Diceros bicornis minor: one gene and its partner. The protein of the gene in region 2 interacts with the protein of the main gene of each other region in a pairwise test. Links are inferred from orthologs where the notes say so. Each region holds a gene or a part of one and is shown on either strand. Other genes may lie near its edges.

Region 1 (7,739 bases), on a different chromosome or scaffold from region 2:
TCCAGAACGGTAAGAGAATAAATTTGTGCTATTTTAAGCCACTAAGTTTGTGGTAAATTGTTACAATGGCACTTCCCTAACAGGGCTCTGAGAAGAATCAATTCTCGAAGTAGGGTGTGGCTGGCAGAAAGCAAGCCTCTCTCCATGAGTGTGGACCCCCAGCACAAACCCAGTTATTCCTTCACCTCTCACATTACTTTTACTTGAATTCAATAGAGAAAAAATTTCTAAAAAATTTAAGTAGGGAGTTGCTCCAAACTTGAATCTCAAGCATAGCAAAGTTAATAACGCATTTATCTTATGTGCCCAAGTCAAAAAGATGCCAGAGTTAGAACCTGGAACACTGGAGATGGAGTTCAGATCAATAAATGTTCTAGACCAGAACTGTCCAATAGAAATATAATAGCCACATGTGGCATTTAAAATTTTCTAGTAGCCACATTTACATAAATATGAAACAGGTGAAATTAACTTTAGTAATATACTTTATCTAATATCAACAGCATTATCACTGCAACATGTAATCAATGTAAAATGATTAGTGCAATATTTGACGTTCTTTTTTTCCATACAAAGTCTTCAAAAGCTGATGTGTATTTTATACTAACTGCAACATCTCAACTTGGATTGGCCACATTTCAGGTCCTCAATAGGCACATGGGGCTAGTGACTACCGTATTTACTATATTGGACAAAGTAGGTCGAGAGTATCTAAAGAGTCCCAATGCCCAAAGGGCATAAAAACGTCTAGGTTTCAAGCCAAATTCTGATGCTTTCGATCAGCGAAACACATGCTGCTAATGATTTATTCATTTGATGAGTGTTAATTGTCTACTAAGTACCATTTAAGAGGCGTATAATTTTCTAGGTCACTAAAACTATGGTGTAGTGTTTCAAATAAAAAAAATCTGGTGCTTGTATTAGAATCTCTATATAGCAGTCACCATGTTTACTGTAAGTTGTGAAACCTCAGGAAATAAACAGTAGACATACTTTTCTGCAATGTGCAAAAGTGCAACACACTGTTTTGCCTTTTCTGTACATGTGTCGCCCGTAACTTGGAGGCTGGAGTTGACTACCATGGTTCCTGGCAGTTCCCGAAGCGCTGACCACTTGCCACTTCCAAGCATGTTGAGCAGATAATAAACATACCAGCTCGTGAACCTGATACCGTGTAAAGAAACCACGTTTCACATTTGAGAACTGCAGAATTGCAGAATCTTGACATGGATTCTCCATTTTAATATTCTTTGGTTTATTTGGGGGCTTTTCGGCTTTTAATTTAATTTGGTAGCACTTTGAAAGTGAAGCTCCTGGAGGTCAGTTTGCCGGCTGCTAAAGAGCTATTAATCTCATATCCAAATAGTGCTTGGTCTTTCTTCAGCAGGCTTTCTAACAATACGAGAACCTCCAACATTCAAGGAAAATGTGATTAGGAGCAAATTGCATCTGCTTACATTTTTATCATGAAAAGGAAATTAAACTTGTGATCAGACATTCTAAGAACCTGGTTTGAGGTTTGTTCTGTTTGAACTTCAAAATCCCTTAATACTGTGGCTGACTGATGAAAGATTTTTTTCCTGTAAGTCAGACAAAGATAGTCGGGCTCACCTTTAAGAAGCCTGTACCAAACCAAGGCTCTCAGCCTGCTCTCCCCAGGAATTGTTGACCAAAAAGTCTCCATAGTGCAGTCTCACTCAGCTGGAGGTGATTCTGCCCCCCCCCCCCACCCGGGGACCTTGGGTAACGTCCAGAGACATTTTTTGGTTGTCACAACTTGGGGAAGTTGCTACAGGCATCTAGTGGGTAGAGGCCACAGACGCAGCTAAAAATCCTACAATTCACAGGTCCACTCTCTCCACCCCGGAACGAATAATTGTCCAGCCCAGCCCCAAAGGTCAATAGTGCCTCAGTGGAGAAACCCTGCTCTAGTGGACACCTCAGAAAGCAAGGCATCACAGCCAGAGAACCAGGAAACCTTTTCCAGTGAGTAACTCCCCAAAGGCTGCCCTGGTGCACCGGTGAAGAGCAAGGACTCTGGGCCAGACTGCCTGGGTTTGAACGCCGGCTCCATCACTTACTGGCTGTGCCTCCTTGGGCAAGTTAGTTGCCCTCTCTGTGCCTCATTTTTCTCCTCTACAACATGGTGATGATAATAATAGTACCTTCCACACAAAGCAGTTATGGGCTTTAAATGGGTGAATAGTCTTCAAGTGTTCAGAAGAGCACCAGGCCTACAGTAAGCACTACATAAGTATGTATTTACTCAGTGGCTTTGCTGATCTCTGGAAAAATCAGTTTCAGGGCTTAGAAAAGCTTAGGGGCAGTAATGAAATGGCCTCAGATTCTGAAATGCCATAGCAAGAAGAATAAGTCGATTTCATCTGACAACCGCGTCCCTTCTTTCCAGTTCATCAACCTTAATCAGAAGGGCATTGAGTAGAGGAAGCCCCTTCACGGCGGGCTCAGCCCAAGCACAGTCAACGCTTACTCTGTCTTGCTCAGTTTCTTTCCCTCCTTCCCCAGCAAAACTAGCGGCTGACAATCAGTTGGCGCCCTCCGGATAGAGCGGAAAACACAAAACTGGACAGGCACAGAACCCACCCACCTACACACATACAGACATTCACACACGCGCCCCCACAGTAGATGTCTGCAGACCACCAAGCCAGAGCGCACCCACGGGCCGGCGCGCAGAGCCTCCTTCCTCCCGGAACCCGCAGGACGCTGCCAGGTGGGGCGCAGCTGATGCAGAGGGAACTGGTGCAAAGCCCCGCCAAAGGGGCGAGGGGAGGAAAGCCCGTGGGCACTCGGGCCTGACGTCCTTGTGAAATCCCGTCTCAGCGCGCACAGAGACACTTGCACACACACCCGCTCACACACTCGCGGGGGTGCCTAGAGGGACGGGGGACAAAGAGAAGGGGCCTCATGGGGGAGCTCAGACGGGGGGCCGATCGCCAGCCAGACACTCACCTGGCCGCGTTCCCTAATCCACCTGCCACCCAGGGGAGAAGCAGCGGGAGCGCAAGGGCCCAGGACAGCGGCATCTTCGCGCGGGTCCTCCCTCTGCCAACGCCTCCCGTTCCTCCTCCTGCGCCCCCTCGGGAGGGCGCGGGCGCGGGACCCAGGGCACAGCGGGGCCGCCGCCTCTGTTCTCTGCCGCTCCGGGTCCCTGCTCCTCACAGGCGCGGTCCCCGCGGGAGCGGGTGCCGGGCACTGCGGAGGGGGCGCTCGCGGCCTCGAGAGAGGTGGGGGCGCCCTGGCTAGGCGCGCGGCGGGTCCTCCACGGGTGAAGCGCGGCCCGGTGCGCGAAGAGGGCGGAGCGGGCCCTGCACATCTGCCTGGGACCCGCCTACAGCACGACCCGCGCATCCTCCGCGCTCTCTGTTCACCGAGCAACTTCCCCCAGACTCAGTTCGCTTCACTCTTGTCGGAGTCACCACGTATCGCCATCTCTTTCAGACATGGGACAGGTTTCGGTGATACCTGCGCCCGAGGGTTTAAGAATTTAGTTAAGTCAAAGCAGGAACCAAGGATGCTGGTTCAGAATGACACTTCTATCTTACTTTTGTTTAGGTTTTCATACTCTGCCAGGCTTTCTTCCACAAACTGCAAATCATGGGCTGCTAGAGGTGGAAGGTCACCAAGTCCTGTGCAACCCCTTCCTTTGACAAGTGATCGCCCGTGCTCATTTGCAACAGCTGACTTACATGGGACCACTAGATGATATTGTAATGTACTAACCAGTGCAGAAATTAATGGCAGAAACACGAATGCTATATGATTTCAGAGAATTCACTTGAGTATTTACCTTAGCTCTGACGACTTGTTATAGAATGAATGATTGGTCCTTCCCTCACCCCTCCCTGCATCCACACTCTTTGGCTTCACGGTGGGCGGAGCCTATGGCCCCACACTTTGGCTTTGGACTTGGCTGTGTGACTTGCTTTGAGCAATGGCATAACGGTCAGTTCCAAATCTAGGCGGTAAGACACCAGATCTCTATCACGGAGATGAGAAGACCACGCCCACAAGCTAGCCTCGTGGCCTAAGGAGATTGAGGAACAGGTGGAACAGAGCTACCTGGTCAATTTGCAGACCTATAGCTTGAAGCAGAACTACTGGGTCAAGCCTGGTGTCTATCAGCCAACTCACAGATACGAGAATGAGCTCAGCCAAGGGCAGCAGGGCCAGCCAAGCTACCAAGGCTTATGGTGATAATTTGTTACACAGCAATAGCTCTCTGACACACCTGTGCCCTGGTGTTGGAAATAAAATGAAGAATATGGAGAAAGAGGAGGTTTGTCTTGATTATAAGCTTGATTCATGGTTATATAATGGGTATATGCCTTAATTCTAGCCAATGAAATGTGAGAAGTGGGGGTGGGGAATATTTTTGGGGCAGATTCTTGATTTACACCATAGAGGTCCCTATTGGTGTAAGCCATGTTGAGTTGGATCTTCTGTTTTATGGTTGAAGGCATTCTAATGGATTCAATATCCCTGGTTAGTAACCAGTTAGGCCTTGAGCTGTTCATAGCTGACAGTAACAGGCATTGTCCTCAACACTTGACATGCATCATCTTTACTGAACACCCACACTTCTATAAGTAAGGATCATTAGTTCCCCCAAGTTTGAAGTAACAAGAAACTGAGAGAGAGATTAAGTAGCTTGCCCAAGGTCATACAGCTATCAAGTGTAGAACCAGGATTGGAAACCAGGGCCCTGCTGCTGTGATATAAATCCCTTTTCTCATCTTCTTACTCTTTTGTGACTTCAAGTGTCAAATGAGTCTCATGAATAGGGTAATAAGATGATCTCTTCAAGGCTATGACCAAAACCCTTTCAACTCTTCATACTGTAACTGGTTTTATTTACCAAAAATATTAAAATTGAAAGAAAACAATATAAAGTATGAACTATATACCTGCAAATATCTTAAAGCAAGTGGAATATAAAATTTGGCTGGGTGTGGGTTTCCCCACAAGCAGACCCTAAGGCAAGGATTCGAGTGGAAGTAGTTTATTCTGGAGGTGCAGAGAACACTGGCCGGGGAGTGAGGGAGTCAATCTGGGAGGAAAACTATGGTAGGTAGGTGTGTATCAAGTCATCACTGGGGGCAACAGGAACTTCATGCCACTGGGCATCTCCCAGAGCCAGCCTAGAACATACATCTCCACGTGAGCTCGCCTAAAGGCGAGGGAGCTGGAGTATTTAGACACCATCTCCATTCAGTCATCGCCTGAAGGCTTCTACCAGGGTGCCGATCCTGGGATTTCCACCTGCTGTGCTGAGGGCAGAGAAAATCCCATAGATGCTGACTGTTGAAGTGCTCCTATTTCCTGGGGCAGGGCAGGGCGAGGCGGGACAGGCCTGGAGACAAAGGCGCCAGTCAGGTAGTAAGAAGAACAGAGAAGGAACCTGGAAGTGATGCGTTGCCTGGTGAGAAGATGGATACAAATTGCCATGTAGAGGCAGGTGTTTTTAATAACCACAAGGGCAATGCTGACTTTGAAGAGAACTGCTCTTTAGAGGACCCTACTCCATTCTACAAAGGAAAAACCATCTTTGATGAGAATCCCATAAAATCCTCTGCACCTTTTACAGTCTACATTTTTTTTTTCAATCTATTTCCACTTAGCCCCCTGCATGGAACAGGTGTGATGGGATATTTTTGTGCTTTCTCAATGTATACACGTAACATACATGTAGAACTTTTAACACTTATGATGGTCCTGGTGCTGAGATCTAAAAATTATATTGAAATATCACTACCAGAAGCAAAGCACTGTCAGATGCAAGAGCTCGGTGGAAGAGTATCTAGGGCAGAGTTTTCGGACCTTAATGTCAGTACAAATTACTTTCTTGTAAAAATGCAGATTCTAATTGTGTAGCTCTGGAGTGAGGCCTGAGTCTTGATTACTAAAAAGACCCTAGGTGATGCCCAGGCTGCTTGTCTGAGAACCACTTAGGGTAGTGAGGGTCTAGAGATCACCTGGACCAGTAGTTCTCAAGTTCAGCCGCACACTGAGATTACCCAGGAAGCTTTGAAACTACTGACGCCTGGGCCCCACCTCAAGAGATTCTAAAGTCTGGGCCATGGCTTGGGCATGGGGACATTTAGAAACTCCCCAGGTGGTCCTAATGGAGAACCAAGATTGAAAACCATTGATCTGGACCAACTTCGACATCTTACAGATGGAAAAACTCAGCTTCAGCGTGTGAAGGGCCTTGCCTGAGGCCACACACAGGATGAGTTCATGTCTCTGTGTTTCCGCCACATGGTCCTCCGCTTCAAACTTTCTGATCACCATTCCTACCAAAGAAGAAAATGGCGCCTCTTCTTAATCTTCTATGTTAATTGTAGCCCAGTGACATGTTCTAGAAATTGATGTGTTTTCCCAGTCTGTTTCTTTCCATTTCTTTTTGTTCCAGGAAAGGAGTCAACAAAGAAGTTTAAGACTCTCAGTGCAGATACTGCTAAATTCTGTATGGGAAGGTGTGTCTTGAGGTATAAACTGTTTTCCTTCATTCTGTGCCTGGCAAGGACTCTGTTCTTGAAGCTCTATGGTAGAAGAAAAATCCCAACCACTTCCAATCTTCCTTCCCTTCCTTTTTCTCCCCTTTCTCTGTCCTTCCCTCTCTCTATCCTTCCCAAACATTTATCTGGAATGCTCAAACATTCCTTGCTCAAACATTTATCTGGAACCTACAAGTGCTAGGCCCTGTGCTAGACAGTGGGGACTGCTTGGTGGAAATGTGTCCACCAGACAGTTCCTGGTTTTTCCTCCCTGGTCACCTGGGCTGGACGACTAACACGTGCTTCTTAGAACATCTGGTCTTCTTCCACATAACGAGTCTCACCTCTTGGGGACAGTCACCAACGTGAGATTAAAAGAGAAAAAAATGACACCTTGATTTATTTTCCCCCCAAATTTTGCCAGCTCTTAGAACTATCCACTTGAAAATTGAGGAAGAGAAAGAAATTGATATTTGTGGAGTTATTATTTCATGCTAGACATTTTATAGAGAGTATTTATTTTATATGTAGGGGAGTATGTTCTGGTGAGGAGCAACATGGCTTTCATCTGATATTTAAGGGAGTCTATGACCCTTTAAATGTCACTACTAGATAGAAAAGTCCCCTTGCCCGTAAATGAAATCTCATTTTCTGCATGTTAGCTTCCCTGACTTTTACCAAATTCATAAGTTTCCCACTGAAGGCACTTAATCAAGAGGGGCTTTTCTTTTTGTCTTTACTGGGGGGAGGTATCGCTTGCGTCCATCCTGTATACTTCCTTCCTGTTCCATGTGTAAATACTCTGATATTTTCCTGTTCACGACTGAGTGTAGTAATGACTCAGTTTAGATAGGCCTTAAAAGTAAAGACTCTTACTCAAAGTCACTCCAACTTGATTTGGGCAAGTCTGGTTGAGAAATGTTCTGTGGACTGTAAAATTGGGACTACATTTGTGATCCCCTTTTTTAAGAATAAAAGTAACAAAATTTGCTAAGACAAAGTGTTTTTTTTTTTTTTTTACATATATACCTCCCTATTTTTAAAAAGTTCTCATATATGGTTTACAGACTTATTTGTTCCTTTAACACAAATTTGGTCCAGCCAATCATGTGCTGAACCCTGTGTTTGGTTGGGATATAAAGATGAATAAAGTCATAATCCCTTGCCCTGGGTGACAGAAATGTGAATATATTATTAGAGTTAATGGTGTGAGTGTTA
Region 2 (7,958 bases):
ACCTAAGAAATTTTACTCTGTAACAAACTTTCACTTTACTATAAAGCAAGGTACACCACACCAAATGCTCAATAGAGTAAAAAACAAGTACAGATTTTGTAAGACCAGCATGTTAATTGGAACCAGATAGCTATTTTTACCTAATCTGCTGCCAGTTTAAACCAACAAGTGAAAAAAATTGAAATTACTCTTGCCAAAATGAAATCTCAATATGAATAAAATGCACTAAAAGAAGACTAATAATGCTCGTTTGCCCTATTTTACAGTAAAAAAAAAAGTATCTTATTTATTCTAAATGCATGGTACATTTTATCTTTATGAGCAATTAAGTAATAAAGTATATTAAAGTAAAAAGATGATCAATTTTTGCTATTTTAATATATTCTCAAGCTGAAAGGATTTTCCCCTCTAACAAAATTTATTTGGCAAAGCATCTTTTTAAACCTCCAAATAGCAGATATTGAAAATAACTGTCAGCAACAAGGTAGAAATAATCAGTTCTAAACCAAGAGAACAGTTGACACATCTAATCAGAGATTTCAAATCAGTGGGTAAACACTAAAGGTATACTGCTTTATTAATATAAATATCACCCCTCACTAATATAAGCAAAAAACTCAATTTCATAGAGACAAGAGAAATGTTTGCTTGAGGAGAGGCCTTCCACTTATAAACACAGGCTATCTAATCTAGCATATCCATTCTCAAAAGAAAATAATTCCAGGTCTAAAGCTTCCTCTGCAGATAAGATCAGGTTCATGGAGGTATACGGGAAAAATGGCTTAAAAAGTAAGACACGGCTTTTTCCCCTAAATCTCTGTCACATGCAAACAGTAGCACTGGCTTTACACGCCCTTCAAAATACTCATACATGCACAGGCAGAATAACCTCTGCCTTGGGCCTTCTAAGATTGTGCTATATTAAGTTATGGATAAGAACAGATTGAGTGTTAGTTTACCTTGAAAATAAAAGGCTTTTCAGTAAAAAGAAGAAAATGACGCAGTAATTCTGCATCTGGATTTAGTAAGATAGCAAAGCTAAAATTCTAGCTTCTATAATTTCTTCCTGTCTCATTATTACTAACACAAGGAAGAGTATTTTATACTAACAAAATTATCCTTAACGTTAACACCATTTATTGACCACTTTTCATGTATGTTCTACAAACTCATTTATCCTCACATCAATTCTAAGAAATGGATATTCTTCTCAGTTTAGCAAAGACAGATTCAAAAGTTAAGTAACTTGCTCAAAGTCATAGACACAGAGGTGGGTCAAGCTTTAGCCTTGCCCATTCCAATTACGTTCCTAAACACCTCTTATGGCACCAAGATTTGCAAAGGAAGTCGTCAGAATCAAAGTGAAAGAAGGATGTGGTGGTATTAAATTCAGTGCTGAGGTCTACTTTAGAGAAGTGAAAAGTATCCGAAATAAAAAAAAGATAGAAGACCTGCCTGAGAATTTACGGGCAGCACATGCGCTGGTTCTGTAAACCTGACAGAATTTGAAGTATCAAGTCATTAGAGGCCTTCCAAATTACACCAAAAATGCACTTATATGTACAAACACTTCTGGCAGAGAAGTCTTAGACAGATCCAATCTGAAAAGCAAAAATAATTATATTAGCAGGCATTTTTTAACTGAAATCGTCTTAGTTTTCTTGATTTCCCAAACTGACAGATATAATTGATTCTATAAAGGCAAGTCTGTGGTGAGGGAGATGGCATGTAGGGACACACAAGATGAATTTCATGCTGCATCTGTCACCCTAACTTAACCAAGATTCTGTAACACCACATTTTCTGGATGTGGTTTATAACAGAACTGCTATTGTGGTAGCCTGGGAAAAACCTTACCACTTCTGAGAAATTATAAGAAAGCTCAGTATTAATTAAGGCTAATCTATGAAAAAATATTTAAGGCTAAATTATGATAAATATTTAAAGAAATCAACAAAGTCCTTAGGTAAAGATCCCTTAAACTAGAACTGTTTCAGAAGGATAAAAAAATAGTAACCATACTCATTACATAAGAAATAGGTCACATTATAAGTATTCACTTATGTGTCCCTAGATAAAGTTCTTCAACCAAGCCCAATGAGATTTAAATTATTAGAATCTGAATTAAGTTTTATTATAATCGCAGCTTACTAACCCAATAGAGAAAGATGGACACATCAAGCAGTAAAAGGCTCACTAAAAATAACACGTTAAAATATATGATGATTTTAAGTCTTCAACAATTTGGTTACGTTACGGCTGCAAAACCAACGGGACATTTTTTAAGCGCTGGTCAAGCGTTTGCCTCAGAGGAGTTTCAGCACCGAGTTCTCCAAGGAAAAGTTAATGCATGTGCTTCCCAGGAGGACGCCCCATTCCCATTCCTCTGGAGCCACAGGATGCGGTGGAAAGAGGGATCCAGAGACCACAGGGGAAGCGCGCAGACCGCGGGCATCTCCGCAGCCACCCCCAGTGCGGGCCACCCTCGTGCCAGCACATCCCGGGACAGCCGGGCGCTCCGACACCGCAAGGTCACCGGAGAAGCGGCGACTTTACATAACCTCCCGCCGCGCCGCCCGGGCATCTGCGCGGCGCGGTCCCCTCCCCGTGGCGCCCGCGCTGGGCGGTGCGGGGGCGGCGCGCGGGGCGCCGCGGCGGGACGCCGGGACCTGCGGGCGCCCGCAGCGCCGCACCAGCCGGGGGCGGGGACGGAGGGCAGGCTCCCAGCCCCGGGATGCCCCGGGCCGCGGCGGCGGGCGGGGCGGGCGATGCGGGGCGCGGCCGGGGCGCGTTGGGCGCGGGCCGGGGTCCCCGGCTCCCCGCCGGCTGCAAGCGCCCAGCGCGCCCCTCGCAGCTCCTCCCCGGACCGCCCCGCGGCGCACCTGTCACGCGCCTTACCTGAGTGGCTTTGTGGAACTGCTTCTTGAGCCCGGCCACCGACATGGTGAGGGAGGGAAGGCGCGCGGGCGGCTGCGGCTGCGGGCAGGAGGCGGCGGCGGGCCGGGCGGGGCGGGGCGGCGCGCTCGCGGGGCCGCCGCTCGTCGTGCCGCCGCCGGGGCTGTGGGCGCGGGGGCGCGGAGCGGCGCGGGACGCGGGCTCGTGCGGAGAGACACCCTGACGTCAGGGGCGGGTGAGGCGGCCTCTTAAAGGGGACGCGGGAGGCCCCGCCCCGGGCGCGGGGTTGGCGGGGCAGGTGCTGCGGCACGCGCTACCTGGGCGCCGGCGCCCGCCGCGCGGACTAGCTCTGCGGCACCCCCCCCACCCCCACCCCCACCCCCCGGGCCGGCGGCCTGGTTAAGACGGCCGAGGGCGCTATCCCGCCCCGAGTGTCGTTCGTGCCCCCGCGGACTGCGGACCGGTCGCTGCAGCTTGGCAGCCCAGGCACCGGCGCGACGCAGGTGACTCGCTCGGCTTCCAGGTAGCCGCAGCGGCGCTGCCTGCAGCCGGCCCGCCTGCCCTTTGAGCCCGGCCTCCCTGCAGCCTGTAAAGGAGGAGTGGCGCTCTATCTGGGGTAATGCATAAGTCATTGCTCCTTCTCTGCCTTGCCCCCGCTTGATTGGTCACAGAAAACATTGCTCTGCCCTGGTTTCAATATCCCTTAAGCCTACTTAACGTCGGGGGAAGCCACCGACGCTTTCTCTCTCCCTTTTTTTTTTCCTTTGGGCTGATACAATTTAACGACTTAAGAAGAAGAAAAGATATTTTTAAAACCTTGAAGCCGGTCAGGTAAATAGAATTGAAGTGGGATATTACGACAGTACTAGCATTTAATCCTCTGTTTACAGAAATGGAAAAGTCCGAATATGAACTTGGTGTTCACTTATGATAGCAGATTTAGGATTTTCAGTCTAAAATAAGCATTATGTAATGTGAAGAAAGCATGACACTAAATTGTACAAATACAACATATGTAACAAAGTATATATGGCTGAACTAAGGAAATTCTGATGGAATTAGGTGAATTGGGAGCAGAGTATGTCGCCTGTGTTCTGGAAATGAGCCACTTCCTCTGGTCTTTCTTGGACGGAGGAGCACGTGGAAAAGAACTTGAACACTGTCCCCACATAGGGACCAAAGATATAAGGAGAAACCAGAGTGACAGAAGCCAAGATGAGAGGCACTGCCAAGGATGAATAAGGAAACCACGCGGCAGAATGGCAGCTTCCTCCACACCCCTGCTGCCTGGGAGGAACCACAGACCCCAGCCCCACATTGTGGCCAGGCTGCTTGGGCCCAGGGTGAACCTCTGATACAAGGAGACCTGTCCATCGGCTGATCTCCCAGTCCTAGTCCTTGTTGATGATGTGAACTGAGAGACATAAAGGCAGAGTCAAGCAGGTAGTGGTGGGTAATGGAGCAGTGAAAGCACATGGACCCATGACCCCCTATGCAGAGAAAAGCAGACAAAAGGAGCAAATCTCCAAGTGATAGCCACCACAGGTGTTCATGTACCTTCCAGATCATGGTAGAACTGAACCTTTCAAACCCCTTGTGGTTAAGTGGGGCACTGTGACAAGTTTTAACCAGTGGGTTAGGAACGAAAGTGACTCATTTCTTGGCAAAGAATTTAATTGTTGGTTTGAGATGCTGTAAAGCTCTCTTTTCCCTCTGCAACAATGTTCTAGATAGTTGTGGTCTGTCAACTAGAATCCAGAGTCAGGACGAAGTGGGGCAAAGTCCCCACCTAATGTTTAACAGACGTTTAGCATGAGTGAGAAATAAACCTGAGTAATTTTAATTCACTAAATCTGGGGTTGTGACTGTGGCAAAACTAGTCTATCCTGAGTGAGGCACATAAAGAAAATGCTTTTCTGTTTCTTAGAAGATAAAGGGAGATTTTCCAGTTCCTGCCATGGCCCACATGTATTTTATTGTTTGTCATTAGATGTCCATGAAGTGGCCTCTTTTTTTCCTACAAAAAGCCTTACTGGAGTTTGGGGAGGTGTCTTCTCTTTTGTGCATCCTCACTGAAGCACTGGGCAGACTCAGTCCCCAGGCCTGAGGGTCAGAGGGAATGGTGGCTCCGTGCATTGACCATACCCTGACCTCTTACAGCTAAGAGAGGGTGAACAGTAAGCTCTAGTGATCCATAAGGCATTCTAAAGAAATGTCAGAGCAAGGGCCAATCTGTGTCTCAGAGAAACATCAGACAGGGAAAGACAAAAGTCCTGCCGATAGACAGCTGGGGCTGCGGATCCACGACTCCAGGACAAGGCGTTAAAGGCCTCATGAGGTGGTATGCCTGGGGCACATTTATTCACATCTATAAGGCCCACCACAGTGATTCCCAGATTCTTGACACTAGGAAACTATGCAAGACTCACTGCACGAGTAGGTGAGGCTCTAGGCTAGAGAGATTTGGGGATTAGTTTTGAGACAGAATAGGGATGGGATTCTGCCCCTGTCCCTTAACCATCATGTTCAGCACCTCCCAACCCAGCTATTTTCGAAGTCAAGACAAGCAACGTTCCAACCGCAAACTTCCCCCCAAAGCGGTCGACACCGACTCCCGCATGCGCACAAAGCCTCTAGATAACCACTATAAGACCTTTCTGGGTCGGCGGTAGTGAGCAACACCGCCGTGATAGACCTACTGGGCAGGTGCAGGGACCACAACCCCTATGGGGTACGCACAGCCACACCAACAGGAAGAGGGAAGCAGAACGCGTCTGGAGGCGGAGAATCCTGCCACCAGTCTCCTCCCCTCACCCCATAAAAAACTCAGGACGGCTCCCTTCCAGGAGCCAGCCAGAGAGCCTCTTCTGTGCTGTCTCCATCGTGCTTGAGCATAAGCCCTAATAAAACCTGTCTGGGACTTTGGATGTGCCTCTTGTCAATTTCTATTACACAGAGAGCCTAATGAACCTAGGGTCAGTATCAGTGTTACAGTGCTTGAACAGTGTACAATGCTGCTCTTGTACTCGGACAGTTTGGTGAAGCCTGCATACACACACACACATACTCATGAAAAGATTACCATTAAATGCTAATAATGGTTGTGCTGCTAGAGCAGTTCTCAAACCTTAGCGTGCATCAGAAACACCTGGAGGACTTGTGAAAGCACCAATTGCTGGGCCACATCCTGTTTCCAATTCACTATGTCAGGGTGGGGCCTGATAATGTGCATTTCTAACAAGTTCCCAGGGGATGCTAATGCTCTGCTCTGGGGACCACACTTTGAGAACCACTGGGCTAGAGCAGAGCTATTAAGAGTGAAATTTTTTCTCTATTCTCCTGATTTTTAAAATGTTTTCCCTTTACTTGTATAATAGAAAAAGTATTTTATAGGTAGTTTTTCCCACCTGGTCCCTGATCTGAACAACGGAACATTTTCACAGAAGGATGGGCCTTGGTTGAAGCTGCTGAGAGACAGCAGTTAATCTACAGAGCGGAAGGGCCTGGGATTCATGAGCTCTGGTCTCAACTGTGAAAGGTGTGAAGTGGGGACCTGAAGAGTCTCCTCAGAACTGTGAATACTTAACTGAACCCCAAATTTAACAAAAATCTCTCTCTTTCCCTGGTTCTTCATCCACCAACTTAGGATGCTCATTCTGCTATACTTCACAGGAACTACCTTGAGAGAAAGGACTTTAAATCCTTTTGAAACCATAGTTAACTCCCCCAGATATCCCCTGGATTTCATGTAAATCCAGTATTTCTACTGCAGCCACAGTTTACACCTGTAAAGACCTGTGAGATGTTTTGAAAGAGATTTGCTGGGCTCCTTCTACCAGCAGGCCTCCTGATAGGATGTGTTGGGAGATGGTAAGGGGAGATCCCACGTGGACTGGACCTTGAACCCCAAGGAGTTTCCAGGCTAGCAATTCGGGAAACTCTTCTTAGAGACAGTCATCGTAACTTGAGCATAAGGGGACAAATGCACCAGACGTTGAAAAAATTTCAAACATGAGTGACTTGTGGTTGCCCAGAAGCTGCAGCACAGGCTCTATGGAGAAATGCAGAAGCATGATGTAGGGAAAGGGGAACCAAAGGTCAATGAGAAAGAACTTTGTTTAATAAAAGGTTGTTGTAATTCAACATGCTGTCCTCTCATCTCCTGAGATCAAATCAATGCAAAATGGTAAATAAACCTATGTCTGCTCAGGAACGTTCCAATTAAGTGAAACCCCCACACAGCCTCACCTCACTAATTGGACAGGAAATTCATCGTCAGCAATAATTCCATCACATCAGTCATGCACTATTTCTCCTTGCATTATGCCAAAGCTTCTGGCAAATACCAGACCTCTAGTTTGCACAGAGCTGCTACATCCCTGGTGCTTTCAGAGGGCCTCTCATTCCAAGGAGGCATAAGACAAGCATCAGCTCTCATCTTTCTGCCCTTCAGCCCAACACTGCTCCTCAGGCCCACACAAGAGCAAACTGACTCTCTGTGTAAGCTCGTTAAGCACAAGAAACATAGCAAAGCAAAGGCGTTAAATCCCAACTTGTTATTTTAGAGATGAGAAAACAGAAGCAATGAAAAGAAGTGACTTATTCATCGTTACTTTTTCTCCTCCAGCCTCTAAGCCTCAATTTAGGGCAGAGCCTCCAGTCAGTGTTAATAAATACAGATTGGAATGAATGAATGAAAGATGGAACAATTTATCACCGCCACTGATGCAGTATGCTCATCACATTGGGTCTGATGTTCACCAGCCTTCCCTAGACAGCCTTGTAGTAACGCATGGGATGTGCAGGACCCAGACAGTCATTCTGGTGTGAATAGCACTCAACATAAGATTTTGTGCCTTTGGATGCTGCCAGTAGCACTGGGCCCCCACTTTGCATGGGCAGGGCTCGCAAGCCCTTTCCTAGAGATGGGAAATCAAGAGAAAGGCCACTTTCATTTCCTTTCTTCCAGGTCTGTCACCTACCACCCACCCTCCAACAGATACACAGAGAAGCACACTTTTTTGTCTCTTGAAGGGGGAATTTATGGGTCTTTCTCTCCCCAC

What was found.
Region 1: the proteins of SH3GL2 (region 2) and EGFL6 interact in a two-hybrid assay, tested with the Homo sapiens proteins (2 studies listed by BioGRID and IntAct). The link is inferred for Diceros bicornis minor from reciprocal best matches to the Homo sapiens genes SH3GL2 and EGFL6.

Annotation. Positions count from the first base shown.
Region 1 is NC_080781.1:10,980,653-10,988,391, reverse strand, and holds the start of EGFL6 (epidermal growth factor-like protein 6), read right to left. Parts: upstream 3,207-7,739; 5' UTR 3,048-3,206; coding exon 2,974-3,047; intron 1-2,973.
Region 2 is NC_080761.1:40,043,087-40,051,044, reverse strand, and holds the start of SH3GL2 (endophilin-A1), read right to left. Parts: upstream 3,171-7,958; 5' UTR 2,944-3,170; coding exon 2,899-2,943; intron 1-2,898. UniProt on the Homo sapiens protein: Implicated in synaptic vesicle endocytosis. May recruit other proteins to membranes with high curvature. Required for BDNF-dependent dendrite outgrowth.